4 linked regions of the Struthio camelus genome follow. The protein of the gene in region 4 purifies or fractionates together with the protein of the main gene of each other region. This does not show direct contact. Links are inferred from orthologs where the notes say so. Each region holds a gene or a part of one and is shown on either strand. Other genes may lie near its edges. The genes, in order: RTEL1, CIAO3, PPAT and MMS19.

What was found.
Region 1: the proteins of MMS19 (region 4) and RTEL1 purify together in Homo sapiens (affinity purification with western blotting; 4 studies listed by BioGRID and IntAct, with this or other methods). This does not show direct contact. The link is inferred for Struthio camelus from reciprocal best matches to the Homo sapiens genes MMS19 and RTEL1.
Region 2: the proteins of MMS19 (region 4) and CIAO3 purify together in Homo sapiens (affinity purification with mass spectrometry; 3 studies listed by BioGRID and IntAct, with this or other methods). This does not show direct contact. The link is inferred for Struthio camelus from reciprocal best matches to the Homo sapiens genes MMS19 and CIAO3.
Region 3: the proteins of MMS19 (region 4) and PPAT purify together in Homo sapiens (affinity purification with mass spectrometry; 3 studies listed by BioGRID and IntAct, with this or other methods). This does not show direct contact. The link is inferred for Struthio camelus from reciprocal best matches to the Homo sapiens genes MMS19 and PPAT.

Annotation. Positions count from the first base shown.
Region 1 is NC_090959.1:18,012,959-18,020,516, reverse strand, and holds the start of RTEL1 (regulator of telomere elongation helicase 1), read left to right. Parts: upstream 1-4,554; 5' UTR 4,555-4,621; intron 4,622-5,083; 5' UTR 5,084-5,105; coding exon 5,106-5,207; intron 5,208-6,460; coding exon 6,461-6,659; intron 6,660-7,018; coding exon 7,019-7,112; intron 7,113-7,558. UniProt on the Homo sapiens protein: A probable ATP-dependent DNA helicase implicated in telomere-length regulation, DNA repair and the maintenance of genomic stability. Acts as an anti-recombinase to counteract toxic recombination and limit crossover during meiosis.
Region 2 is NC_090956.1:2,351,809-2,359,201, forward strand, and holds the start of CIAO3 (cytosolic iron-sulfur assembly component 3), read right to left. Parts: upstream 3,020-7,393; 5' UTR 3,017-3,019; coding exon 2,882-3,016; intron 1,976-2,881; exon of another isoform or gene 1,636-1,975; coding exon of another isoform or gene 1,600-1,635; intron 1,394-1,599; coding exon 1,298-1,393; intron 1-1,297.
Region 3 is NC_090945.1:56,075,817-56,082,978, forward strand, and holds the start of PPAT (amidophosphoribosyltransferase), read left to right. Parts: upstream 1-4,149; 5' UTR 4,150-4,217; coding exon 4,218-4,345; intron 4,346-7,162. Other genes in the region: PAICS (bifunctional phosphoribosylaminoimidazole carboxylase/phosphoribosylaminoimidazole succinocarboxamide synthetase), read right to left, coding at 2,204-2,401, 3,471-3,516. UniProt on the Homo sapiens protein: Catalyzes the formation of phosphoribosylamine from phosphoribosylpyrophosphate (PRPP) and glutamine.
Region 4 is NC_090948.1:17,004,108-17,011,423, forward strand, and holds the start of MMS19 (MMS19 nucleotide excision repair protein homolog), read right to left. Parts: upstream 3,004-7,316; 5' UTR 2,971-3,003; coding exon 2,856-2,970; intron 1-2,855. Other genes in the region: UBTD1 (ubiquitin domain-containing protein 1), read left to right, coding at 3,079-3,238. UniProt on the Homo sapiens protein: Key component of the cytosolic iron-sulfur protein assembly (CIA) complex, a multiprotein complex that mediates the incorporation of iron-sulfur cluster into apoproteins specifically involved in DNA metabolism and genomic integrity.

The sequences.
Region 1 (7,558 bases), on a different chromosome or scaffold from region 4:
TATTTTTAATATTTTTAACAATTAAACATCCTTAGAGGTCGTGTGCCACAGGAAGGCTTCTTCCAATAACTCATACTTTCTTTTCAGAAAAAAAGACAAACAAACCAGTTTACAAGAGTATATACATGCAAACTGTTAAGGGTGGCTCGTCTATTAATTTTGAAGAACAGAAATGTCTTTTGGAACCAAAGAAAGAAAAATCACGACCTGATAGAGAAAACTATCTCCTCAATACACAACACATCCCCAAATCAGAGACCCATAGTAATCCTCCTTGTGTTTCATTATAGGAGACAGTCGTCTAGGGCAACAGTTCACAAAGGAAGATTTGCAGGCTGTGGCTGTTACAAGAAGGGTTACAGGCATGGCAGAACCACACTTCTTTATATTATTATTTGTGGCTCTAAGTCTTGCACAAGTAGGGCTTCCAAGAAGAAACATTTGGGAAAAAATTAATCTAGTGACTAACGAAATAAGGTTGAAGGATGACAAACACCTAGTCTAAAAGGAAAAGCACGGATTGCCATATATTACTCTAATACAACAGTGTAGGTATGGCAATAGTGCAGCCATGAGACCTTCCAGTACCATTTGCAGTCTCAAGAAGCTAGGAGAAGCTGACTTAGTTGGCATGAAATAATAAAAATCCCACATAGGGCAGCAATTAACCCTCCTCAAATTATTAAATAACAGTCGAGAATGGAGATAAAGACGGTCATTGTCAAGCAAGAAAGCTATCTGAGCCCAGCCTGAAGTAACTGCAACTGAGAAAGAGAAACCAGTGATAACAACATCAGCACTAAATCAGGAAAATGTTTCCCTAAGGCAAGGGAAACAACAGAGTTATTCTGAACGTTTCCTCTTTGGTATCTATCATGTGCATCTGCGAAACGAGGCCAAACTGTGCAAAGGATCTGGATCATGAGGAAGAGGAGGAGATGTATTAATTTAGTCACTTAAAAGTGTAAAGCAAGCTAGGAATTCAGGTCACCACAGAGTCTGCTCAGTTAGAACTGGTCAAGGTTGTACAAAAAAAGTTAGCAGTGCAAAACGAGATAACTGACTGAGGAACAACAACTGGTAAAGAATAGAAAATTTTGAGCACGTGAAGCTGTGTCTAGTTCTGGCTTCAACCATGATTTGTCACGTGGCTTTCACCAAGTCACTAATCTCATCTGCTTCAGTTTCCTCATCATAAAATGGGTATTTCATTATCCACCTAATAACAGGATGATTGTGATTAAAATTTGAGTGCCAAAGAGAAAGCAGTTTTACTTCATGTATTTCCCAACAGTAAAAAGACAGCAGGGCTCGGGATTATCTGGATTCAAAGGAATCAAATAATTATATGGTCAAACAAAAGTTTTAGATGGTTACCATGGGAACCATTACATGTCCTCAGAAGGACAATGAATGGCAACTTAATCCTCTTGTATCTAAAAGGAGAAAAATGCATGAATAGCAGTGGTCTCACGGTTGGTCACCGCTGCTCTTCAATGTATTCGGTCCTGTTCCTCAAGATTCTTGCTTGTCAAGGAGGAGAAATCCTGCATGGGTGCCCCCCCCCCCCCAAACAAAAGTGAAAATTACTCTCCTTGTACTTCTGCATTCTACAAGCTTTCTACTTACAGGATTCTCTGCGTAGTGAGGTTCAGCCACTCACACATCCACTTCCCTACAGAGTTTTAGGATTATCTTCTGCAAGATTTTTCTTTTGTACATTTTTTCCTTATAGACATGTTTTACTTTCTGTTGCCCACTTCAAATGAAAACTAGTTCATCCAAGATCTTCACCATCTACTAATGTGAGAAAGCACTGTGTGGAACCTCTGGTAGGCTGCACTGCCTATAGGACGGATCAGCATGAAGAAGCCATTAATGGTACAGGGACTGGCCTGTCATTATCCTCCATGCCACTCCAAAAATTCTCCTCTTTCCCCTCCTTTTCCCTCCCCAAACCCATGGCTTATACAATCGCAGGTTTTATCCTAGGGAGCTAAATCCCAGAATGAGAACCCAGGAATGAGAATGATGTCCGTACGTGTATGTGACAACAATGTTCTGGCTTTAGTAAACCTCTAACATTCTCTTCCAACTTGAATGAGGAATAAATCTTTCTCTTTAAACTTACAAGATTTTGTTTGCTCTCTTCCCAGTTTTTAGAAGAAATTGGTGAAGCAATGATAAAAACAGACTGGATGATGCTGGCACTGCAGACTTGGTCAAGTAAGGTAAATGGTGCAGAGAAATAACCCTCCAGAGCGATAAACAGCACTCAGCCAGTGCTGAGTCATATCTTTCCCTGGACAATAGCGCACCTGCTGAATCATATTCCTTTTTGGGTTTGGGAACTTTCCAACTCTTCTCCCTCTAAGGTAACACTGCTTAAATCAACGTTACTTAAATAGTAGTGAAAATAATCTGATTTTACACAACATTTATATTCCTCTTCAAAGCATGAAACATACATTTACAGGGAACAATGACAGAAAAGGCAGGGAATATTCAATAGGTTTATGGCCAGTTTTAAACCTTTATTCTCCATTACAAATACCTTATCCCACACCTTCACAGCATCCCATCAGTTCCTACAAACTCATTTCTTTTGCAGTTTAGTCTTGTATGACTGGTATCAAGTGAAAGAGTTAATACGTTCAGAGATATGAACAAAATCGCTTGTTACATTTTGTGTTGAGCACAGTGAAGAACAAAAGGAGTAACTCAAAATCAAATGACACCAAAAGACTGTATTTTAACGCTCTCAAACCGTAAAAAAACAAGGACTGTTTGAATGACTTTTCTGCAATTATTCAAAATCAAGTCTGACATATCAAACAACCTTAGACGTTCTGTCCTTAGCAACATTTTCCTTAGGCATTCTTCAATTACAGATGCCCCACTCCACAAACAACTGTCTTTTCTCACAGACATACAAGAATATAGAAAACTTATTATGCCTGAGGTATAGCGACCCATATTAATAGAGTACTCCCAATCACACCTTATTAAGTTCAGCTTTGTATTGCAAGAGCTGGAAAACTGAGGCTTATAAACCACAGAACAACTGCTAGCACCCAACTCCAGTGTGCTTTGTTGTACTTCTGTAGCCTACTAGCTACAATTCAAAACAGCTTACAGACAGACAAGTTCAGCTCGGGGAGATTCAAGACTGGTAACCAAAAGAGCAGGATATGTAAGCTTCGCTATCTGAATTCTTGGAAGACACAGAATATACCAGAAGTTTGAGATCAGATGGCACAATACACTCACATTTAAGGTCACATTTTTTCTTCTCTTGAAATATTAGAATACTTCTACATACAGACATTACCCCTTGCAACTTGGTAAGGGCATTTGTAAAGTTTCAGTAATACGACGCTACATCCTGTTTTACACTTATATAGTAACCATCTAACAGCGTAGGAACTTGAAATGACTTACAGGGAGATGTGGTGTGTGATAAAAGATTTTCTTCTACCTTCTTCCTTATATAATTGCGTAAAATATGATTTTGCAAAATTTTGTGATCCAGGCAAACCACGTCCATTTATTCAAATAGTTGGATGGCTTGCTAGAATCTTACAAGCACTGGCTCATCCATCATTCCAGAACGGTTCAGAATTCATTACAGTCACATAGGGGTGGAACCCACCCTTAGTCTGAGCAATTGAAATTCCAGCACAGCCATTCCAGGCCACATGCACTGACATAAAGACAGGAAACTGAAGGCTGAAAGGAAAGCAGAGAACGAAGGAGCAGGACATTCATCCCTAACGATACCCATCAGAATTCAGATACCCATCAGAATTCACTACTGTTTGCGATGCAGAGACTGCAAGGCGCAATATAATGAAATAAAACCCCTTGTACTGAGAGCATGGAGAGTTTCAACACAGAATCCCGTAGGAGTCTGCGTTCTCCCTGTAGGCACTACCACCGGAGGGTGGCAGACAGGCGGCATAAAGCAGAACGGTGTGCTGGAGAGAAAAACTGGTCAAGGAGATGACCTCCTACATAGGCCCCCTGGCCTTTCATGAAAGAGAGGGAGAGAAATCCGGCCTCAACCAGCTACCGTGAAGGAGCACTCAGACGCTTAGGGGGAACCCAGCAGGTTTAAAAAAGCATGAGAAACGTCACCGTTTTGCTGCTTTTTGCAAGCAAACGGTCTATCTACCGCCTCTTTGCGGCCAGGCTTCCCGCACTAGGACGGAAAGGAGAAGCAGCTGGGGGGCCCGAAGCGCTTCCCGACTTTCCCGCTGCCATCACGCAGCTCCCGCTGCGGAGCGGCCCCCCGGCCCCGGCTCCTGCCCGGGACCTGCTCCGTACTGCCGGCCTCAGGCAGGGCCTAACCTGGCCCCACAGCCCCGCCGCCGCGCACGGGGTGGGGGGGGTGAGAGGGAGGTCGCCAGCCCCCTGCCAGCGCCGCCGCGCGGGCGGCACCGCGAGCGGCGGCAAACGGGCCCCGCCGCCACAGCCGGGGCCTACCGGGCCCCGCCGCTCGCCGCCCCGTTCCCGTGGCAACGCCGCAAGCCTCGCGAGAGCGGGCGCGGCGGAAGTGACGCGGCGGAAGGAGCCCGGGCACGTGACGCAGGCGCGGGGATTCTGAACGGTGGCGCGCGAGGTGAGGCTGCGGCGGCGCCCGCGTCCCCATGGCAACCGGGGGGAGCGGCGGGGGGGGGTCTCGGCGGCGCGGGCAGGGCCGAGGGAGGCTCCGCCGGTGCCACCGGGGCGCCCGGGTGCCGGAGGGTGGGCGCAGCGAGGGGCGCTGTCAGGGAAGCGGCCCTGTCCTGGGAAGGGCCTGTGAGGGCCGCGGGGAAGCACCGGGGTCCGGCCCCCCCGGGGAACGTGAACGTGGCGGCCGGGTCCTCCGGTGAGCCCGCTGCGCCGGGCCCCTGCGCGCCCCGCCCGGGCTGCGGAGCGGATTTGCTGCTAACGTGTTAGAGGCCCCGATTTTGTGAGGGGGAGACGGGCCATTTCGGGCGCTTGTTATGCAAACGAGCATCCGGCTCATTGCTCGAGGCGCTGTCGGGCGCGCGGGCTCCTCCTAGCGTCGTGTTACTGCAGATCACGCGCATGCCCTTAGTTTCAGGTGCCTTGCGGAAAACATGCCTAAGGTTACTCTAAATGGCATCACCGTGGATTTTCCTTTCCAACCGTACAAGTGCCAGGAAGCGTACATGGCCAAAGTGCTCGAGTGTCTGCAGAAGGTGAGTGCTGGGAGGTGCCGGCGGCGTGCTGCTCCTTGCAGCCAAGGGGCTCTGGCGCAGCAGTTTTTCCTCTGCTAAAATTTAATTCTTGACTGTGTTACAAGTCAGATCTACAGCAGCTTAGTTCCTAGGTGTATCTTAGTTCATTTACTACGCGTATCTCATTTCTAGCTGTGAAAAGGGGTTCCTTAAAAAAGGAGTCATGATTCAAGTTTACTTCTTGTTGTCTGTATACTGCCTTTTTCAATTTTTTCTGATTTTATTTGTAATTTTATTTTAGTATACAGTTATTAAAAACCCAGAAATGGGCAAGTGTTGTATCTCTCAGTAGAAATGAGGACAGGCTATTTCTGCCTAATGTGGGAAAAGGAAGAAAAATTAAGGAAGTAGTTCTTATGTTCGTGCACTCTATCCTTAGAAGTTTTGCTTTTGTATTGTTAGTGAATTGTACTATTAGTGTAAGTTGCCCTTCTAGCTACGATAATGTAATCTTACTGAATGAATGTCAAATAAGGAATGGTTTTTACAATAGTTATTTTTGTTCTGGAATTGGTAAACACGATCTCCAAGGTCCTTGCTTCTTCTGAGAGATGAAACAGAAGCTTAGGCTTTCCATGATAGCTCAGCATTCCTCAGGATCATAGGCAAGGGCTTGGTCCTTCTCATGTGGTAGTAAAACTTATATAAGCCTGTTACATGAATAAATTCTTTTAGTGTGCTTACCATGATTTGTCTCAGCTGTGCAAGCTCACCTGTTATTTATAATGCAGTTTGTGAAAACACTTGGAAATTGGAATGTCCAGTAGAGCTAGATATTTAGAAATGGACCTGCTTGCCAAACTTTCTGCTGAAACTATGTCTAGATTTTGTGATGCAGGATATAGTCATCGTTCTAGGGAAAATAAGCATTCTATAATCTAAGAATCAATTTCTATTTTTTGGAGTAATTTCTAATATTTGTGTGCCTTTTATGCTGAAATGTGATGCATTCTATTTAGCAGAGGCATTTTCCATCCTTATAGTAAATAAAGGATAACAGTTGTCTCTGGATTTTAGCCTGAGTTTCACTGAGCTGATTAGAGGTCACAGGTCTTGCATGTAAAAACTTTGTGGGGTATGTGTTTCTGTCATATGGTATACTTTCCTGCATAGTGAATTCTCTTTTACTGGGAAAATGCTGTACTGCACGATGATCTATTCTAGTTGAATATCCAATATACTCATTTTTTTCATTCTATTTCTTTTCAATAAAGAAGGTAAATGGCATTCTGGAGAGCCCTACAGGCACAGGAAAGACACTGTGCCTTCTGTGTTCCACTCTGGCTTGGCGGGAACACTTTAAAGATACTATTTCAGCCCGCAAAATTGCACAACGTATGAACGGAGTGGAGCTCTTTCCTGACAGACCCATGTCATCCTGGGGCAATGCTGCTGTGGATGCTGATGTCCCAGGTAAGTACGTTTTATCGCTCCCACTGAGCATAAAATCAGGAATGTTAATGAACGCTTTTGACTTTACCTATCTCTTACAATGAGTATATAGTCATAAAAGCTATGGAAGCATTGTTTGGCAGCTGAAGCACAATTTCGTACTATTTCATAGGTTTTTAAAGGTGTCTTATGTATTTTTAATTTTCTTAGAACATTAGAAATCTCTTTAGCTCATTTCTTTTGTGTGAGTAGTTAGATGATAAAATTTCTTGCTGCCTCTATAAAACAAATTGTTACAATGGCACCACAGGGAAGGGAGACTAATGATATCTTTAGTTCTTTCTCTGCTAATAATTTTTTTTTTCCTCTCTATGTAACAGCTTATTACACTGACGTTCCTAAAATAATTTATGCCTCCAGAACTCACTCACAACTTACGCAAGTCATTAATGAATTAAAGAACACAGTCTACAGGTAAATATGATTATGATACTGCTTCTATCCCAAGAAAAAGGGGAGGAACCCAGCTATTTCAATAAGTATTTGAATTTGTGTGGATGAATGTATAAAACAATTGATACCGACTGAAATGCAGTTCTCTTAATGTGCATGTATAGAACCTGGATTTCTTTGATTTTTTTTTTTTTTTTTTTTGTGATCCCCCCCCCCCCACCCCCAATAGTTCACAGCTTTTCTTTTCTTATCATCTCCTTCTATCTTAGAATTTTCTGAATTCACTCTGGTTCTGGTTCTCCACTTATATTTACTTCTGAAATTCCAGGTGGGAGGAAGCGCGGAGGATTTTTTTTTTTTCCCCTATCTCCTTAAATCCTATAAGCTTTTTCTGAACTTGAGACAAAAGAATTCATTAGATTGCTGTGGGTTTTTTGGCTCGGGGAGAGTAAATTTTTCCAGTTTAC
Region 2 (7,393 bases), on a different chromosome or scaffold from region 4:
GAGTTGTTTACGCCACAATTATTTCTGCTGTCTGGTGGGTTGACATTGCTCCAAAATACTGAAGTGACACTTTCCCGGAAGCAAATGTGGTCCATCTTGTTTGCTTTTTCAACCTGTGCATGGCAGAAGACTGGGGTTGGAATGGCTGACTTGCTACAGATTGTAGCTGCTACTTTTAATGGCAAAACTGTAGACTGCTGAGATCCCAGGCCCTTAAGCACCGATCTCCAGCGTGCATTCAATATTTGGATTAATGCTAGGGAAAGCATGCCAGGTCTATCAGATGTTGCTCGTGTTATTGAATTTTACTAGGGCTGTTGCTCCACAAGAGTCTTGACTTTCACTCTTTCTAAAGAGATTTCATAGCCAGGCTACAAACTCACTAACGTTTTTCATTGTTAAGGAATATTCTGCAGTTATTCTGTGTGCAAAACTTACACGGGCACTGATGGCATGTCAAAGTGCGTCTGGCATGGCGCTGGAAGGAATTTTTTAATATTATTTGACCTGAAAAAATCAGCTTTCTAGTGAGACTCTTCTTTAAATGTTACTTCTCAATAAACTCAGACTGAGCGATGAAGTACTTTTAAATTGAAAGTTTTAAATATGAAACCAGACTCCTTTGAAAATGCTGTATTGGCCTTTGTAACTCAAAAGGTAATCAACAGCCTGAAATTAAAAGCACTGTCTCTAGATGAACTCCCAGTTTGGTTAACAAAGAAAAGCTCAACTTCTCTCTATATATATGAAAATACTTCAGTACAACTTGCGATAATTTGGAAGCAACAGGTTTATGAATTCTGCATGCTGCTTAGCAAATCATTTAAAAGGTATTATTAAAAAAAAAAACAAAGGTTAAAGAATATATAAATGAATCTCCTTGTTACTGAGCACGCTACTGTATAACATAACAAGAAAAAGCATTGTTTCAAATAATCTAGCAATCCAGGCACTCGAGAAGCGATGGCAAGAAAACAGACTTCTCAGCTTACCTGCTCTTGCACTGAAAATATCATTAATTAACACCTGAGTTTGAGAGCATGAAACAAAAAGGTAGACATGAAATTAGAAATATGGCTTATAAAACTGGGTAGTTAAAACCCAGTTGTTTGGTATTTTTCCATTTTTCCAAATTTGACTCCGGAAAAAGATGTGAGGAGGCTGATGACAAGAGCAATATTTTTGTTACATCTTGGTTCCCTGTGAGGTGGTAAATAGCTGTAGCATTTAAATACCGAGCAAGAAAGTTGCATTTTCTGGATATTTTACACATTAATCAAAAAAAAATCACACATACCTGACTGATCTGAAAGTAGCTCCCATCTGCTTCAATCCTGATCTTAGCTGCTGCTTTCCCAGTTTTTTTTTCAACTTTTACAGGTTTGATACATTCCTGAAACAGAAATAAAGTCCAAAAGTGAGGAACTGAGGTGAGCTGTGTGGCAGAGAAAGCACAGCAAAAATGCAATTGAAACTGGAATGATCAAAAGCAAAGGCTGGTTCAAGAGCAAATGCCACTTATTCTACCTTAAGGTACGCTCGATTTTTCTACAGCATCTATGACCACCAAGGGGAAATGTAAAAGTAAAAACTGCTTACCCCCTTTTTACAGAAGGAACACTTTTCCAACATCATACCAAAACCAGAGGGCAGTTTTGCTGTTGCTCTGAAGAAGCCAGCTATGCTTTATGGGGTCTTGAAAAGAACAGGGGTGTGCCTGCAAAGTCCTTTTCTCTCTAAAATCCCTACAGATCATGCATTCCTCACTGCAAATTTTAACCAATGGAGGCGTGGTCACTACAGTCAACACGGGGCTAGTGCCAGTGAAGCTTCATTTAATGCTGCAAGGAATCTGACGACTTCAGATGGACTGCTTCCAGCTCGCTGCATTGTTTTGTGATGAAGTCTCAAGGGTGTTTTTATACTTTGTGCGATTGTTATTGTTTAGGCACCTTCTGTCTCTATGTCCTGCTCCAACAGCCAGGAGTCGCCTTGCCTTTTACGGTCCTTTCTCTGCCAAAACCTTGAAACGTTTCTCCCCCTAGAGTCCAGCTCGACTACATCGTTGCTGCAACTACTGCAAGATTCACAGCCTACGAGGAACGAGTCGTTAAGCTTCTTCAGTTATGCTCCCTGAATCATAACAATCCAAAGGATCTCTCCATTTGAAACAGAAAAGGGGGAACAAGGAGAGTTAAGGGGGTTCGTTCTACTCTGTTTCACTACTCTCATTTGGAGACTGTCTTCTGCTCTATTTGCTGTCAACCACCATCGCTAGGATTATGCTTTTCTTGACCTGGAACTTTGCTAGTGCTGGAAGACTCTGACAAGAAAGCCTTGCCTTCTCTTTGCCGCTCGCTCCCATCTCGGTGCCATCCTCTCCCGCAGCCTGGCATGGGCACTTGGGTAACAGTGAAGTGCATGTACTGGCTCGGATAACTCGTCTAAGCTTAATTTTTCTCGGTTTCTTCGTTTTGTTTTGGTTTTTTTTCGTTGCTGCTGTTTTTTGTCTAGGTTGACAGTTCCTAGATCCAGATGGGGCTGAGCGGGGCGTGTGAACAAGGCTTTTCTGCAGCTGCTGCCCTCCCCGACCCCTCACGCTGGCAGCACGGAGCAGCGAGGTATTTCTGTGCTTCCTCCGTTTACTGCGCTAATGAGCAGCACGGGCAGAACTGGGGGAGGGGGAGGGAGAGGGGGGCCGGGCGCGGCCCCTTCGCGCCCTGCGCGCTCCGAGGCACCGGCCAGGCCCCGGGAGCGCGGCGGGGCCTTCCCCGCCCGGAGCCGGAGCCGCGGCCCCGGCCCGGCCGGGAACCATCTCCCGCGGCCTTGGCGGGCGGCGCTGGCGGGGAAGCGGCCCGCCGCCCTCGCGGCCCGCGCCCACCTGGGAGGGCCCGATGAAGTCGTCCAGGTCGGTGAGCTGCAGCACCCCGCTGAAGGGAGACGCCATGGCGACCGCCGGCGGGGACCGCGCCGCGCTGCCGGAAAGCGCCGCGCTGCCGGAAAGCGAAGCCGGCATCAGCAGCCGCGGGGGGGGGGGGGGGGTGGTAAAGAAGCGCGCATGCGCGGGTCGGGCTCGGGCGGGGCCGGGGCGGGCGCCATGATGGCGGCGAGGGCGGTGGCGGCAGAGCTGCGGGGCGGGGCGGGGCGGGGCGGGGCGGGGCGGGGCCCGGCCGCCTGCGGGGCGCGTGGTGGCCGCTGGGCTGCAGCGCGGGGTGCGAGGCCGAGGTTGGCTGCGGGCCGTGTGGGGAGGCAGTCGCGGCGGCCCTGGGCTGGGCGCCCGCGAGCCCCTGCGGAGAGCAGGTGGCCGGGGTGGGGGGACAGCGGCCCCCGGCCCGGAGCGCTCCGCCCCCAGAGCGGTTAGTGTCAGGAGGGCAGCGGGGGAGGTTCGTGCCCCTGTGGTGCGGCGGTTTGAGGCTGTCGCGCCTCCTTTCTGTGGCCCTGAAGCGTGAAGGTGAAGTGGCTGCTGAGTTGTGCGGGTGGGTGTGGAAAGATGGGTTGGAGGGTGGGGAGGGAATAGGTGTTGTCGGTGCCGGTTGTGTTCCGGTAAGGGCGTTTGGGAGTGTGTTAGTAGTGTTGGGGCGTGTCAAGGGCAGGGGGGAAAGGGCTGTGTGAAGGGGCTCCCAAGGAGATTGGGTAGAGCGCCGGGGAGCGCGGTGCGTGGAGCAGGCGTGCTGCTGGTTTGGAGTGCAGTGAGCGAGAGGCAGTGTGGCCGTGGCGTGGAGGCTAGGTGCAGCGTTTGGAGGAGTGAGGCTGAGGTGAGGGCAGATTGTGGGCTAGGAGATGGCGCTGCAAAAGGTGGGCCCGTGTGTTGTTTCTTGTGAGAAGGTGTTGTTTGTGGTTGAGGGGGAGAGCAAGGGTGGTCCTGGGTGCAAAAGGGAGAGCAGTCTTGCCTTGTGCGCTTTTGGTAGGCACGGGAGGTGCTTTGGGGATGTGTTTGCCTGCTGGGTAGTGGCGAGGGTGTGAGTAGTAGAGGGAAGGGGGTGGTGATTGGCGGTGGTTGTGTTGGAAGGTGCCCCGTCGGGGGGTGGTTGTGTGAGAGAAGGGAAGGGAGGAGGCTGTGGATACCAGTTGCGCCTTGTGTGTGTGTGTGTGTGTGTGTCCCTAACCCCCCCGGTGGCCCCCCCTCAGCGCCCGGGCCGGCAGGTTGTGGAATGGCCCTAGGTGAGAAGGCTGTGGTGTGTTTTGTGCTGTGGGTGGCAGTGGGAGTTGTTTGTGGAGGTGGGTTGGCGTTGTGAAGCGAGCGCTGTTAGGGGAAAGTAGTGGTTGGGCGGAGAGGAGCCAGCGCTTGCCGGAAGCAGGAGGTGTGAGAGAGTGGAGGTGTTGGGTGTGAAAAGGGGAAGAAAGGGGGATGCCGGAGGAGCTGCTTGTGCCCTGTGCGCCTTTGCGGCGGGGCCTGTAGTAGAAGAGGCGGAGGGTAAAGGAGTGTTGGAGGCGAGTGGGGTGTAGCGGGGGAGGTATGTTCTTTGGGATGGCGGGCAGGGCGGAGGCAGGAGTGCTAGGCAGGCAGGTGGTGAGGTGTTTGTGGAGGCAGTGCTTAGTGTGGAAGAGACTGGAGGTAGGGAAGTGGGGTGGGAGTGTGGGCAGGATTGGGGTGAGAGTGGGGTGGTGTGCTAGTGGGGCAGGAGGAAGTGCTTTCTGGGTGCTGTGGCAGATGTGCTTGAGGTGGGAGGCGGAGCGCTCGAGCGGGTGGCCGAGTTGCAAGGGTGAAAGTTGCGCCGTGAGGTGTTTGGGTGCCAAGGAGAGGGGGTTGGTTCACGCTGTGGCTGAGGTTGCTTGAGTTCAGGGCAAAGGTGTTGGAGTGGTGGAGGAAGGGGCGGAGGTAGCGGAGAGGCTGCTGCTTGTTGGCAGTCGGCTGGAGGCCGGTGTGTGTGTCGGAGGGGTTGTAGGTGGCGTGGCTGTGAAGCGAGAGGTGGGCCAGTGTGTCGGCTGAGAAAAGGTCTAGGGAGTCATGGTGCAGAAGGCGGAGCGGAGAGGGAGGCGTGGGAAGGGAGGGAGAGCATTCGGGCTCCCTGCGCAGCACCTTGTCGGCTGTGTGGGTGGGTGCACGTGACCGTTGGCGTCCCGGGAACATGACGTGTGCTGTGGACAGGGTTTCACGCAAGCAAGAGTGCTCAGTATTTGCTGGGAATAAATTTAATGAAGGAGAGCTGTTTTGTGCTGGTAGACGGGTGGTTGGCGAGAATGTTGTGAGCGAAGCATGCGAAACCAAGTAGGTGCTCTTGCTGTGTCTTGCTTGTCGTCCAGTGCTGTTGGAGGCCAGGAAGAGTGAAGCGGCCTCGGAGCCTGGGGAGGGTTGTCCCAAGCACGGTGTCTCTGGCGTGCGCGCTCACCAGGGCTGCAAAGCCTTGCTGCAAAAGAAAAGCAGGTAAGGCGGCGAGTGAGGTGCGGGCAGCAGCTGTTTGCGCAGTCTTGGCCTAGCAAGTATGTGGGTGTGGGCGTGCTGGAGGTGGGCGAGGGCAACGGGCTCTGGGAAGCCGTTCAGCGAGTGGTCTGGGCTAAGGGCGAGCAGCAGTCTGTGCAAAGGAAGTCTTGGTTTTCCGGCTAAAAGAAGATGGGCAGAAAGCGTGGTGTTTGCCGGCCACAGGCGCCTGGGGGTGAGCGTCTCACCTGAGAAGCAAGAGCAAGAACCTCGTCCAGGAAGGCAGAGAGGAGGGTTTCAAGCACGCAGATGTCCTGCAGGACTCCGGGGCCAAAAACTAGGTGGGCTAGCTGGGTGGCGGTGAGGTTGTCGGTGACATCGACCTGCAAAGGAAAAGGGAGCCCGTGAGAGAGAAGCCAAAGGTTGCTGACAAAGGGAGAGCTAAGGCCCCCGGAGTGGGCGGAATTGCGGGCCTTGGGAGGATGAGGTGGGCTGGGGCTGGGGCTGAGGCAGGGGGGCTGTGTCCTCCTTGAATTGGAGCAGGCAGGAGAGGCGTCAGCCTCGTGCATGGCAAGGGCGGTGGTAGAGCAGGCTGGTAAGGCTGTGCGAGCGCAGCGGTCTCGGTCCTTTCTGAGCGTGGAGGCACACTAACCCCACTGAAATCTGCCACTAAGGTGAGGAGATCTTCATAGCGAGCAATAGCTGCGAATGCACCCAAGTTGTCTTGCAGCCAGTGGAGGCATGTTCCGTGGTCCAAAGGAGACAGAGAGGCTGGGGCAGAAGAGAGGCCAAGAGTGAGGCGATGGCCTTTCCTTGCGGCCGCCTAGAAAGGCGAGGAGGGCCACCGAGTGGGCTGTGGGAGGGTTACCTGGTCCGTCTTACCTGCGTCGGTGCATTGGCTTTGGAGGAAGGTGAAGACAGCGCTAGAGATGCCTTGCAGCTCCCCGGGCAAGAGGGCTACGTATGCCTGGCTCCCGGAGGACACGCTGGGGAGGGAAGTGACATGGGAAAGAGGTAATTCTTGCTGTTGAGGTGGTGGCGGTAGTGCTAGGGGTGGGAGGGCTGCTTTGTCAGGGAGAAGAGGGGCGCAGAGAGGGCAGCGGAGAAGGACGGGAAGGCCTGCTTGCTCGGAAGTGGGCGAGTGCTTTGCATGGGAAAGGGCGGGCTGGCAAGGGCTTTGGAGAGGTGAGGGCAGGGCAGGCGCTGTGGCAGGGTTATCTGTCGGCAGAGGTTTCTCTAGGGTGGTGTTAGAAGTCCTGAGAGATGGTGGTGGTGCAAGTGCCCTAGTGCTGGAGTCTTGTGCCTGCTGAGTGACTGAAGGCTCTGGAGAGGCTAGGCAGTGGGCAATTACGCGCTGGCGAGGCGGTGCTGCCAAATGCCAAGTGGGCAGCTTTCTGAGTAGGCAGCAGAAGCGGCGGGGTGGGAAGCGTTTGTCAGAGCAAGAGCGGTGGGGTGCAGGTGGCAGAAGGCGAGCTGTGCCATGGCCGCACGTGGGCATGAAAGTGTGGGCAAGGGGGGAAGTTGGGTCGAGCTTGGGAGTGTTGTTTGTGGGCCTAAGGCTGCTGTGCGTTTTGCTCGTGCTTTTGTGGGTTGGTGCAAAGCAGGAGGGTTGTTGGCAGCGTATTGTTCACTGCTGTGCGTGGGGCAGAGGGGAGTGTGTGTGCGGGTTGGTGTCAGCGCTGCCCTTTGGAGTGTGTTATACAGCTGAATGGAGTTGATGAGGCCCCCTATGTGCTGTGCTCTGCTGCTGCTAGGTTTTCCTGTTGCTGGTGGTGGCGGCAGCGTTGTCGGCCGAGGTGGACCGTGTTGTGTTTGGCAGAGACGCTAAGTGAGGCTAGCGTGTTAGGAACCGTGTTGCTGTGCTTGGCCGTAGTTTGAGTGAAGGGACTGAAGATGTGACCGTAGGTGCCTGCTGGAGCACGTCTGTAAATAGTAGTGTGTTGCGGGGCTGCTGCTGAGCACAAGGGAGCGCTGCAGGTGGCTTGGCCGCTTCCTAACCACCGCGCTTTGTATTTTTATTTGACAGAGCAAAGG
Region 3 (7,162 bases), on a different chromosome or scaffold from region 4:
GAACAGTAATTGGAGACTGTCAGAGGAATTACTGAAAGGGAGCAAAATACAGGAGCATGATAGTCCTTACTACTTTGTTTATAAAGGGGAACAGGGCAGGAGAAGACACCTTAGTCCTTCCTTTCTTTACTAACTAACATTTGTTTAGGACTTTAGATCCCAGTGATTTATTTGGCAAGAGACATTAAAACTTGGAGGAGGTATATGTGCACACGCAAACTTGCTGCAAAGCAACAGTATTATATAATTCTAAGATGACCCCATACTAAACACTGTTACAATCAACATGAGCCGATTGCCACTGTAAGTCCAATATGACTCTTTTCCTCCCAACTAGCAAAGTAAGAGAAGTCTCACTTTTTCCCCCTCAGGGCAAGACAACTGTCAAGCCCAATTGGCATCTGCCAGAGACAGAGGCCAAAGGAGTTGCAGCCAGTCCATTTAAGAAGTAGCTATATTCCACTCTACTTCCAGGGACATAAAGGAAGTAGAACAAGTAAAACACTTAAAACACAGTGTTAAAATACACATTGACTTTTTATACCTAATTGCACTGCCCCAGAGGACAAAATTTAAACTATCAAATGTATGTCAAGTCACTTCTAAATCTGGTCACCAAACCCCCTGCCTGGTTTATTACTAAATTTTTAATCAGCACAGATGTGTGCTTTAGAAGCGCTGACATCAGCTCCATTACAAACAAGGGAGAAACTTTAACAGAACTCTTTGTAAATCATCACCTTTGAAAAAATAGGTTAAGAGGAGTTGCGCAAAGCAAACAAACTACTTCTACAATACGGCATTAGCGTTATCTGCAATTTATGCTAGTCAAATAACAAAACTGGAGAAAAAACCCTGAAAGTCCTTTTGTTGTTTTAAAATGCCGCTGCAATTTATTCTGCGGAGAATTTTCCACAGCACCTAAAGTTAATCAGCAAAAGCCATTTAAAGATCTTTGAGATGTCTACAGCATGACTTCTTAGCATTTAAAATTCACACTTAAACTGTCAGATATTTAATATTTTAAATGTTAACTTAATAAAATAAAGCCATCTTAAAAAAAAAGTCAGGCAACACATCTTATTCATCACTCCAAAATGAAAGTCTCCCCCGCCCCCCCTTTTTTTTTTTTAAAAAAAGATCAACTGTAAATACTATCACCAAAGATCTTGGAGATTTCTTTGTACTATATGCAAAACAGGCTTTCCAGGAAAGCCTAGTGATTGAAATATTTCCCAAATGGACTAGTGGGGAAGGAGAAAGATACAATTAAGTCACTCAATATAATCTTCAATCTCAGCACATATTTTAAGAACTACTTGCATAGAAATATAGCTAGATAGAACTCTAGGGAAAAACATTTTTCTCTTCCCCACATATGAAACATGCTAGAACTTCAGTGCTTGAGCATCTGCTATCTATTACTACACTTTTATTATATAATACTACATTTAGGCTAATTGGTACTCAACATGAAGCAGTCTTCACTCAGACGCTTCAAAAGGAACTGAGCGTACAGCTATGAACACCATCTTACACAGAGTCTATTGTTGCCTGTATTAGAGTACTGTTTGTAGAATCAAGTTGGGAACTCACCAGTTCAAATTCCTCTTTACAACTTGCATACTATTTTCTTGTGACTATTAACCCCCCCCCCCACACACACACAAAAGCAGTGACCTAAAGACCTATTTTATTTTTCCTGTAAAAGAAAAAATAAAATATATCTAGAAGAGAGGTAGATATTAAATTCTCAGTTAAAAGACACTTCAAAATGCTTTCCTTAAAGTGAAGATACTGACTCCATTTTTGGAAGTGTGGTGCAGAACTCACTCATGAGCAACTTTTAGATATAGTCTATTTAACTACTACTAGCTAGCAGTGGCTTCTAAGCAGACAGATGTTATAAGAAAGATGAGATGCATCCAGTCTGTTATTATACCCAATAAAAAACAGATTGACATGAGCAGAGGGGAGGAGTAGGGCCATGACCAAACATGCAGGACAAACTATAGTAGTGTTATCCGTGATTAAAGATTGCTTCAGACACTCTCGTGCTTCAAATGACTAAGTCATTCAACTTATTAGTATCAAAGGAAAAAAAACCCCAACAGAAAATAAAGTGAAAAAAAGGTTCTCCAGGCAATACGGTTTAAGAGCCTCTGCAACATACAGGCATTTATTTTACCTTTAAAACACTCACCAGCTTCTTGAAGTAACTGAAACACACAGCTAGTTGTTGTATTGGAAATTGCAGCCTTCCCTTCCATACGGTCCTTCCTGGCTGCATTTCCCGCTGTTATTTGGTCTTTTGACTGCATCAAAACACATCCTGGGATCTCTGGCAACTCGTACACTTCTTTTGTTTTACCTTCATTAACTTTTTTACCAAGTTTCAGCTCTACGCAAAAAAAAAAAAAAAAAAAAAAGGTTCAGACCGAAACAAAACTATTTTTGTATGTCAGCAAGCCAAGCTAGCATGCTTTCAGTCGCATGCCAAGTCAGACCCAGCAGGACTCTAAACCGTGGTCAACGACCACTACGGAAACATTCCCATCTACTGAACCATTTGTTCAGTAAGTTTCCTCTCAGCAGTAAAGGTAAAAGCCTGCAATCCCTTCTGCCCAAACTTCCAGTACCACAACAGATGTTTATCATACCTAAGCATCTTTCAGCTGAAAGAAGCAGTGTACTCTTTCGGCTTTTTATTTTTATTTATTTATTTTTAAAAAAAGGCACGCAGCTAGCCAGCCTACACTTTGTAGATTTTGCGTTAGTCATGTCAGCACAACCTGGAGTCACTTGTACTACCCTTGCGCCGTCAGGACAAGATGGGCAGAGGAACCTCGAAGCTCAGAGGGCAGAGGAACCTCGAAGCTCAGAGAACGCTGCCAGACAGCACCAGTCTGAAGGAGCAGCTTCACAGAGCATCGGAAGTTTGGGGGCTGCACACATCAACCGCTCAAGATAAAAGACGTTTTAAGTTTCAGCTCGCTATGCCTTAACGTTCACGTACACTTGGTCTTCACTTCTTTGAGAGGAAGAAGCCAGACTTAACCTGCTCATAGGGTTGCTTCGCACGAGGAAGCTCAGTGCCCAAACTCCCGGGAAAGGGAAGACGAGGTTCTCGGGGGTGGCCACACACAAAAGAATGGAGGGGAAAGGGGAAAAAAAAAAAAGACCCCCAAAACCACACTTTTGCGCGGAAAGGAACTTGCTTAAAAGCACCTAAACCTCAGCGCCAGCCTCTTAGACCCCCCCTCCCACTCCCGGGACGTAAAGGCAGCCCCGAGCCCCCTCCGCCGCACAGATCGCTCAGCTGGGAGCGGCGCCCCCCGCGTCCCCTCCCCCCCCCGACCGTTACCGGCGCCCCTCAACGCCCAACGGCCGCGGAGCGCGCGCCCAACGGCCGCTCCCCTCAGGGCCCCCCCAGCGCCAGAAGGGGAAGACGCGCCGGGGAAGCAGATTACCTGACGCTGCGGGAGCCATGGCGGCGGCGGCGGCGGCAGCAGGTACCTAGGGCACAGAAGAGAGGTTCAGCACATGCTGCCAGGCCCCGCCGCCGGGGTAAGAAGGGGCCGGCGGAAGGGGCGGGCAGGCGGGGTGGCGGGCAGCGGCGCCGCTCGCCAATCGCCGCCCAAGGCGGCGGGGCCGGCCCGCACCCCTGTCCTCCCGGCCGAGCCCCATCGCGCCCCCTCGCCCCGCTGGGGCGAACTCCAGCCCGCGGTCCCCTCCACCGCCCACTCCCCGCTGTCCCCCCTCCCCCCGATGCAAACACGGCCGCGGCCCACTTCTCGGCCAATGCAAACGCCGCGCCGCGCCCGGCCCTCAAACTCTCCGCGCAGCCCCCCTGCTCCCACCGCGGGCAAACACCGGCCTGTTGCGCCCCGCGGCAACGTGCGCCCCACGGAAGCACCCGGGCCGGGGGCGGGGGCTCGGGGGCCGCCGCGCTGCCCCGCGCGCTGGGGGCGGCGGGAGGAGCGGGGACGGGCGACGCCGGCATGTGCGCGGGCCGGAGCCCCCCCGTATGTAAATGAGGGAGGCCGCGCGGGCAGGGTACCGGCGGCCCCGCGCGGCGCGGCGCTGTTGGCTGCGCGCGGCGCCGCGAGGAGCGCGCCGGAGCCGCGAGACCGGGGCCGCCGCGCCGCCGCCGCCGCCGCCCGCCGGAGCGCCGCCCGCGGCGGCCGCCGCCGCCACCGCCACGTGCCGGCCGCACCATGGAGCTGGAGGAGCTGGGCATCCGGGAGGAGTGCGGCGTGTTCGGCTGCATCGCCTCCGGCCTGTGGCCCACGGAGCTGGACGTGCCCCATGTGATCACCCTGGGGCTGGTGGGGCTGCAGCACAGGTAAAGGGACGGGGGGGCCCTGCCGCCGCTCGGGGGGAGGAAGTCGGTTGGGGCGGGGGTAGCGTGAGCAAAGCGTGGGGTCGGGGACGGGATCGGGCGCCCCCCCGGCCATCCGGCAGCATCCGAAAGTGACTTCTCGGTGGCGGGCCGGGCTGCAGGGCGGCAGCCCCCGGCGGCCGGCCTGGGTCGGGGCCCCGCGGCGGCACGTGCATCCGGGCCGGTCTCCGCTCGCCGCCACCGGCGGCGGGGGAGAGCGCGCCCGCCTCCCGCTGCGCGCCGGGCGCTGGCAGCCCTGGCAGCATCCCGGCGGCGAAGCGCAAACGGCAGAAACGCCCCGCCGCCTCTCGCGCCTCCGTGCCGCCCCCGTCGGGGGAAGCGCAGGGCGCAGCTCTCGGGCACGCTTTGCGCTTCGGCTCCGTCTAACGAAGTCGCATCTGCCGCCACCAGCCTGCTCTCGCTCATGGCCTGGGGGCGCCCCGCGGAGCAGTGCGCCGACGGGTTAACTCCCGCGAAACCGCGAGGCGCCTGTGCGCTCCCGGGGCCCCGCGGAGCCGGCGGCGGAGCCCCGGCAGCGGGCAGCCAGGCGGGGGGCGGTGGCGGTGTGCCTCTCCCCATCAGCTAGTCGTCTCGTCCCAACAACTCAGTCCCTCTGCGGCTTTTTAATGTAGGCGCTGACCTCCTGAAGGACTTGCAGGAAGGCCAGACCCTCATTCTGAGCATTATTTGAAATGCATACGCTCAAATGCAATTCGAAGTTTGAGACTAAGTAAATAGCTCATAAATATTTCTAAACTCCCGTGCTGCAATAAAATAATTATTTGGAAACATCATCATGATATAATAAAACTTGTCTTCCACCTATGCTTATAGTAAAGTAAAAAAGACTATATTCCCAGTGATCACCTTCCGAGATAGGGATGCAGAGCTGCAAAAGGAAGTTTTGCTTCCGCTATCATTTGGTGTTTCAAAGTTACAGTGTTATGCACTACTATATACTACTCATTTTTTTTTCAGTAATGGTAGCAAGACATTTCTTCTTTGTGGGAACACGTGCACATACACATTCATGCTAGTTTTGGCTTCGGTGGTGCCAACACCTATATATATGTTTTGCTTTCCATTTGTGAAAAGTGGGCTACATCACCTTCGTGACAGTTTGAGGAGGTGGGGCTTCTCTAAGTACATATGCATTGAATAGAAAAAATGTTACAGTTTTTATATTTTAGAGGTCCCAGACATGCAAAGGCTGCTGCAAATTTGTTTTGGACCAATACTAGAAAACTCTACATTAAGATTTTCTGTTTATTACAGCTGAATTTAATACACTTCTACTCATAAAACACTGCATCCCTACATGACTCCCATATCCTAATCTTTTCTTTGGGTTGCAGGTGTATCATTCATGAACTACGTATGTTTGCCAGTGTCTATCAAAAATATGCTCACTCAGAGTGATAAAGCTGCAGAATCCAAGGAAGGAAGCCGTCTAATCAATGGTCTCCTTTCTCGCTGAGCCATTTTTCTGTAAACAGGCTGGTAAAAAGTCATTTATGCTCACATAGTTATACTTGTGGCTCTGGAGTTTCACGACTGGAAATTAAATGACTGGTGTATTTTAGTCAAGTTTGTCTGTGGCTTACTATCACAATTTTCATTATAGACACATTTCATGATTTTCATGGAAACATAGTTTCTTTCTGATGTGCATTTGACGTACATTTGATTTCCATGTTTTACCATTATCCCCTATGGAGCCTTACTGGACAAAACTATAGGCAGTAATACTAATATAGTGATAGAAATTGTGAACAGTTTTCAAGTTCCATTAAATCAGTGGATATGCGCCTGAAGACATCGGACTACCTCTGATTCTGATCTCCTAACTCCACAACTGGCTGAAATGTTCAGGGGATGCTTTCTTAAAGACATAAACCTTATTGTGTCTGTATACCGAAATCTGTTTTCTTTACAGTTTGCTCAGTTAGGTTTACCTTTACAAGCACTCAATAAAATTCTATGAAATACTTGAGATGTCAGTGTTCCTGTTTTCATCATTAAACATTAAAGTTTCTCTCTAACCTCTTCACATTTTTCCTTAATAATTCTACTGTGAGGTGTAGAAAAGGTGATGTTTCTATCAGCAGGTAATAGGACAGCAGCTATTCTTCATCTTCTTAGAATGTCTCTTGAAAACCAACATTGAGATTCAGCATTAACTGTATCAGTAAATTTCATCAAGTTCATTCTCTTAAATTTGAAAGCTAAGCAACGTCTCTTAACCTTATTCCTTTCAAAATAAGTAAATATGAAAGAGAGGTATGGTAAATATTAATGGACAGTCCTAATAAAGCCTAAGTGACTAACAGAAATTTGATTAGCCATTTAGAAAATAAAGTTCTTAGAGCTCACATTGAAATGAATAAGGATGTTTAGTTAATGACTACTGGCCTTAGATACTCATGCTCATGATTCTTCTATATGCTAATTAGTCCTAGGTAATAACACAGGTGACAGTTTGGCCCTTAATTCATCTTAGGTTTTAAAAATTACAATATACGAACATAGCAGTGTATCAAACCGCATTTTTTAGATGGCCGACCCATAAAGAAGAGACAGCTGTTGGGAATATGCTATAATTTCTCATCTTTGAAATCTTATCTGTATACATACAGAATATTTGTTACATTACACAAACACAAGTGCTATCAATCTTTTGTAATCTGATATACCTGGTTGCAGCACTATGAGAAATTTGGCTATTTGTGATAAACGTCCTAAAATGAGTTGAATTATAGCGTTAAAATTTTTTTAGGCATT
Region 4 (7,316 bases):
CTTTTAAGAAAAGTGAGTTCAGCCTCCTCCTGACACCCGCTGACCTGTACAGTCCAAGCTGCCTGTAGCAGCAGTGAAGTCTTCCACTTGCCAAGTTGCAGTTAATTTAGTACTCAGCAACACATGCAAGAAGCTCAACATGTTTTTCCAACAACCGCACGAAGGCCACGAGGTTAGAAAAACCTCCCCTTTTGCTCAAGGAGATGTGATGCAATTTAATATTTTCTGATGTATGATTCTATGAAAGGTCAGAGGGGCCAAAGGACACTCGCTGGCTCACTTGCTTGTCAAGGTAGGTTTATCACAAGCACCATACGGCTGATGAGAGCTGTGGGGGGAGCAGCCTATCTCTTTGTATGCTTTTGAAGAGGCAAAGCTTTCTCAGGGCACTTCTGTAACATGACCATAGATGACAAGAGCAATTGTAAGGTTATCTTCCCCCCCGTCTATCGCAAACATGTTGGAGGCTTTGTGCAACTCTTTTGCAACATCTTGAATGTCATACAGTTTAGTGAATTCCTCCAAATTTCCTTGGCGTCTTCTTCATCATGCATTACATGGACCATTGGGTCATCTGCCAGTTTTGCCAGCTCATCTCTTCACCAAGATACCACTGAACAGTTTACCCCCTTGGGAAGGGTCTGTTAGCTACCCTGCGGTATAATGCAGCCTATGTACTCCTCTGCTCTCTCAAATCCTTTCCAAACACACAGAAGCCACTGCCTAGAAACACGAATGCTCTGCCTTATCCTTAAAAAGCCATGTTCCTGAAGCTGCAAATTCCCTAATGTAACAAAGTCACCAAATTGCTGCTCCAAGCGGAAAGGCAAATTATCCAAGGAAGTCAAATGCCTCAAGCCCAGCCAGGAAAGGAGGAGAAACCACAGAAAGGGCAGCCAGACCCTGAGCCCCAGAACTAGGGGCAGGAGAAGCCAGCACACCAGCTTTCTACCTGGTGAAAGGCAAGGCCAGGGGCTTCCTCCCCGCAGGTGGCCAACCTCCACCTCCCAGGCAGCCGTACCCAGGACCATCCTGCAGCTCCCCCTGCGCCCCGCACCTCCAGTGCCACGGTTCATAGCCTCACACATCCCCACACCACATCCCCCTGCCCGAAAGTGTCACTCTCCACTCCAGGCCAGCCCCCCCTGCACTGCCCCCCTGCAATCCCAGCCCATGCTGTAGGCTAGCCTTCCAAAATCCTGATCAGCCTCACAGATCGCACAACTCTGCATTCACCTCAGCTCTGAACAGCCCTGCATCTGCCCAAAATCCGTGCCCACCTTACTCCTAGAGCTCCCTACTCTTGCTGCTGCCCCACATCTACCCCACAGTCCCTAATCCCTTGCATCCCCTGTCAACACTCATCTCACAGCTGTTTCCCACCCCCAAATTCAGGCCCCCACCCTATTCTTTGACTGGCATCCATCCTGCAGCACTGCCCTGTAGCCCACAGCCCCCGCTGCTCTCTACTGCCATATCCCACGGCACTTTCTTTGCCCAGCACCCCACGGCTCCCTGTATCCCATTCCCCACAGCAGCATCCTGTCCCCACGCCCTGCTCTACCCCATGACCATCCCAATGCCAGATCCTACCCCACAGTCCTGCACCTGTATTTTGCTCTGCTCCATGGCCACGTCCAAAAGCCAGTGTCCTGCCCCGTGGCTACATCCCATGCCCTGCCCTATCCTCCCTGCAGCTCCATGTTCACTTGGCTATGCCGAAACATCCGTTCCCTGTCCCCAAAACGGCCCTGTCCCACCCCACAGCCTTAGGCGCACGCCTCCGTTCCCTGCCCCACAGCTCCATAGGTATGCCACATGATCTGCCCGACTGCCCTGTGCCCTGCCCCAGAGCCACGCTCCATATCCTGTCCCACCACCATGCCCATAACCCTACACCTTGCCCACAGCCTCATGCTTTGCCCCACAACTCACAGCCATGACCTTTCCTGCCCAGCCTCACACCTCCATGCTCTACCCCATATCTCATCAAATAACTATAACTGTGCTCTGCCCCACACACTGCGCCGTATCTTCATACTCTGTCCCATGCTCTACCCCACAGCCCCATGGCCCCACAGCCCACCCCACAGCCCCATGCCCACGGCCACACCCTGCCCCACCGCACAGCCTGCCCCACAGCTCCATGGCCATGCCACTGCCTTGCCCCACAGCCCACCCCACTGCCCCATGGCCACAGCCATGCCCTGCCCCACAGCCTGCCCCACAGCTCCATGGCCATGCCTCTGCCCCTGCCCTGCCCCACAGCCCCATGCCCACGGCCATGCCCTGCCCCACAGCTCCATGGCCATGCCACTGCCCTGCCCCACAGCCCGCCCCACAGCCCCATGGCCATGGCCACGGCCAGGCCCTGCCCCACAGCCTGCCCCACAGCTCCATGGCCATGCCTCTGCCCCTGCCCCTGCCCCACAGCCCCATGCCCACGGCCATGCCCTGCCCCACAGCTCCATGGCCATGCCACTGCCCTGCCCCACAGCCCGCCCCACAGCCCCATGGCCATGGCCACGGCCAGGCCCTGCCCCACAGCCTGTCCCACAGCTCCATGGCCATTCCTCTGCCCCTGCCCTGCCCCACAGCCCCATGCCCACGGCCATGCCCTGCCTCACAGGTCCATGGCCCTGCCATTGCCCTGCCCCACAGCCTGCCCCCCCCAGCTCCATGGCCATGCCTCTGCCGCTGCCCTGCCTCACAGCCCGCCCCACAGCCCCATGAGATACCCGGCCCCACTGCCGTGCCCGGCCCCACCACACCCCCGCCCCACACCCCAGGCCCGGCCCCATCCCACCCTACACGCCCCGCCCCGCCCCGCCCTGCCCCGCTCCGCCGCCCGGTACCTGCCGCCACCTCAGCGGCGCGCGCGTCCTGCTGCCCGGCCACGAAGTCCTGGACGAAGGCGGCGAGCAACCCGGCCCCGGCCCCGGCCCCGGCCCCGGCCCCGGCCGCCGCCATGACACTCCGCGCTGAGGACAGCGAGCCGCCGGCGCGCCCGGCCGCGCGCATGCGCCGCGCCGCGGCCGCCCCCCGCCCTCGCGCGCGTGGGGGAGGGGCCTATAACGCATGCGCGCGGCTGGAGCTCGCCCCCCCCCCCCACCCCGGAGGGCGAACCGTGGGGCCCCAAGGGGGGGGGCCGGCCCCCCTACCCCCACGTACGGCGCGTCGGATGGGACAAAAGCGTCGTGCGAGTGGGCGCGCCCACGTGGGCGGCGCCGCCCGCAAGGTGGTGCCGGTGCCGGTGGCGGTCGGGGGTCCCGGCGCGGGCGGGGCGGGGCGGGGCGGAGCGGGCCGTGCTGGGCCCCAGCTCGGGCCCGGGCGCCGCGGGGGCGGTCACATGCACACCTGGGGAGGGCGGAGCGCGGGGTGTCTCCGGCGGCGGGGCGGCCCCGGCGCTCAGAGCCCGGCGGCGCGGCTGCACGGCGCCGGGCCCCGCGGTCGGGCGCAGCGCGGAGCCGGCCCGGCCCGGCCCCATGCCGAGCGCCCCGCGCCGCCGCCGCCCGCGCCGCCGCCGCCGCCCCTGAGCCCGGCCATGGGCGGCTGCGTGGGGCGGCAGCGCCGGGAGCGGCCCGCCGCCGGCAACCCCCGCAAGCGAGCAGGTGAGCGGGGCCGGCCGTGCGCCCCGGCGGCGCGGGCACCGGGGGGGGGCACCCCCGCGTGGTCCGCGGGCACCGGTTTGGGGTCTAATTTTGTGCGCTCTTGGGGGTGTCCGTGGGCACCGGCGGGGGTCCGGTCCGTGGGCACCCGGGAGTGCCTCGTCCGTGCCTCCCCCCCCCCGCCCCGGGGGACCCGGTGCGGTGCGCGGCCCCGGGATGGGGCGGGCGCCGCCGAGCCCGGCCGTGGGCTCCCCGGCAGCGGCCCGTCCCCGCAGCCCTGCCCGCCCCGCGGGGCTCAGCCGTCGCCCCCCGCTCACGGCACCGGGCGGGCCCGCGGCGGGGACGCCGGCGGCAGCGCCGTGGCCGGTGCCGCGGGGCCGGGCAGGTGTTTTCCTCCTAGCCGGCACCGCTGCGCTCCGGTGCCGTCCTGTGTCTGGTGTGCGCGGGGCAGGGTCAGGGCTGGGGTGTGACATTATGTCCTGCCCGGCTCTGCCGGTTCCCCGGCTGCTTTTAGGTCTGTGCTGGCCCCGGAGCACTCTTTCTCTGCCTGCAGTGCCCTGAGGTTTGTCCGGGGACGCATCCAGTGCAAAGGCTCCCCGCCCCGGGTGCCCTCCGGCACCGGATGGGAAGGAGACGTTGCGCCCGGGCTGCGCGGCGGCACAGCGGCCCCGTTTCGGGCTTCGTCCTGCTGCGCTCAGCAGAGGGATCCGGTGTCCGGGCCAGCCTGCGCCTCCCAGCGCCCTCGCTCAACGCCTCCCGCAAACGGCCCGCTCGGGGCCTGAGCACGAGTGCCGTGTCCCCCCTAAGCGGGGGGGAGCGTGGGGTGTTGCTAAAGGGACCCCATCCCCTCTCCTGCCGGGGTTTGGGGACCTGCCCGGCGCTGGGAAGCCGTGTGCCTGGGGCAGCTTCGCGGGCGTCCTGCAGTCGGCCCCCGCCGCGGCACGGGAGGGAGTCGTGCGTGTGCGAACGCTGTGGGCTCGGCGGAGCTACCGAGGAGCCCGGCCGAATACCTGCGCGAGGTGCTTACGTAAGGCGCTTCCCCAGGATGTTGCCACATGCGGCATGGCCCGGATGGGCCGGCGGCTGTCGCCCACGGGGGTGGGCACGGCTGCCTCCTGCACGAGTGCGCTGGGAGCGGGGATGGTGCCACCGTCATTCAGTATCAGCCCGAGGCTCTGGCCGCTTGCGGGTTTTGCCGAGACCCAAGGGCTCCCAGAGGCGACGGCTCGGCTGCTCCGCTGCACTCCCTGCCTCTGAGAGTTAACTCATCCGGCGCGTCGACCTCCGGAGTCGCCGTGCCCCGGCTCCCCAGGCTGGCTGGAGCGGCGCCGGTCCCCGGCGAGGCGGCGGGGAAAGCTCGTCGCAGCCGGCGGTGCGCAGGGAGATCGCGCCCTGCGAGAGCCGGCCCCCTGCATTCCCGAATCCGGCCCCGCCAAGAGCCGTGCAGGCGGCAGGGTGAATCATGCCTCCCTTCCCCTCGCCCTCCTCCCCAGCCGGTGCAATAACAGCGCGGCGCGTTGCACCCACTGCTAATTGTTGTGTTTATAGCCGGGTGCTGGAGGAGGCCGGAGAGGAGGAAGAGGAAGCGCCGTGCGTGTGGGTGAGGACGGAGGGAAGCCCCGGCCCTCTCCGGGGAGCTGGGCTGCGGGTGGGCGAGAGGAAAAGAGGTTTTCCAGCAGGACGGTGCCCTCTGCTCCATAAATAGCGTGCCCCTGTGCCCTGCCTTGGTAAGAGCGGGCAAAGCCTGTGCACGGTGCTTTAGGACGCTGCTTATTCAGCTGCTCCTGTGTCCCAAAAGCCCTCCCAGGGGTTTTGGGACGTTCCCTGAGGGCGACGGAGGCGGTGAGTGCGCTTGTGCGCTGCTCGGCACGTGGCGGGCAGCACTGACCCGTGGCCAGCCAGGTCTGGCTGTGCCTGGTGGCCCTGGGGCTCCTTTCTGGGGTGCCGGTGCGTGCGGGCAGGCTCGCTCCCGCTGGCCCCGAGCTTCGTGGGCTCCGCGCCCGGAGCAGCGCGGCTGCCCGGCACGGCCTCCCCAGCCCCAGGTGAGCTGCGGCTCGCCGCGCTGCGGAGCTGCTCCCTGGGCCAAGCCGGTGTGGGGCCGATTTGTGCAATAACAGCCCTGTTCCCCCCCCGGGGGTCCCAGCCCCCACGCTGTCCCGCCTGGGGATGCGGACGTCCCCTTGCAAACGTGCGGGTGCTCCTGGGCCCTCGGCCTGGCCGGGGCTGTTTGCTCAGCTCTGTGGGTGTGCGAGGCCCTTGGCAAACACCTCCGTGCTGGCTTTGTGCCGCGGTGGCTGGGAGGGTCAGATCCGGAGGCCTGGCTCTGGGTGCTGCTTTCCGCCGGCAGACCCGCCGAGGTCCTTCACGCCCTTCCAAGGTGAGCCGTCACGGGGCGGCTCTGCGAGCTCTCACTTCGCCCCAGAGGTCGGCCGCTTTCCCAGGTGTTTGTCGCTGCCGCGATATGCGATCGCGGGGGGACCCCTCCCGCGCAGGGTCACGGCTGGCTGCAGAGCCGCGCTCCCACCTCCATCTCCCACGTGGCTGCTGCGTTCCCCTCCGGCCCGGAGCAGTCCCTGCGAGGCTGCCCGCGTCCCCGCGAGCTCTCCTCGGCCTGCTCGCGTTCCTCCTCCCGGTGCCCCGGCCGCCGCGCTGACCGCCTCCGCTTTCTTGGAGCGCGTCCCTTCCTCGGGCAGAGCGCGTGTGCGCGCCCCGCTCCTTGCCAAGAGCGCGGGCAGGCAGCGGGGGCAGCCCTGCGGCTCCCCTGGGTTTACCGAACCGGTGAGTCGCGCTCGCAGGCCGTGGCGGAGCGGGGCCGTCCCCAGGGCTGGGTGGCCGGGCCGATTCCTGCCCTTGCTTGCGGAGTGACATCAGCCCGCGGTTGCTGCGCCCGGCGGGCGCTGCCTCGGCAGCTGGCGGAGGCTGGCACCCCGGCGGATGGCCCTGAAGCGAGGTTGCAGCTGCCTTGCCTGCAGCGTGGGGACCCGGCCGCGGCACGCAGGGACCTGCCGTCGGCCGGGAGGAGAGCGCCCCGCGCCCGTGGGCCTGCAGCCGGTGTGGGCGCTCCCTGGCCAGCGTTTGGGGGGGTGAGAGGCTGAACCCCGTTTCTGGGAGAGAAGCTGGGCTCGGTTCCCTGCTGGGCTGGAGCGGGGAGCAGGTCCTGCGGCTCGGCTGCGGCGGGAGCCCTGCCAAGCAGTCCGTGTGCCTGCCCGGCTTCTGCCCTGGCCTGGACTCGCTGCGACCCTGTGCAGCGCCAGGTGGATCCGGCGTTTCTCGTCCCCTCTTCCTGCGCTGTGCTGTTGTGAGCTGCTCCCTTCCCTCGCCTTCCAGACGGGGAGGCTTGAGAGAGGGGTCCTGCGAGCAGGAAATGGTCACGAGGGTGGCTGCTGCCTGCTCCATGCTTAGGTTGTGTGGCCTTGAGACGGTTCCCTGGCCGAGGAGGGGACCGCTGGCTTGCCGGTACGGCTGGCGGTGGCATCGTGCGTCTCCTCCGGTGCGGAGCCGGGACCGGCCCGCGGGGCTGCCATGCTTTCCCCTGGGGGCGCAGCGGGGCAAGGGAGCTCCCTGCTGCTCCCCGCCGCCTTTGGGAGGTGCCGGTGGATATCCCTGAGCCGCAGGAAGGATGAGCCCAAAGAACTGGCGGATGCCTGGCTGGGAGCAGCCCTGCTGCTGGAGCCGGCGAGTCTGGGTAGGGATGGGGCGGGGGGGGGG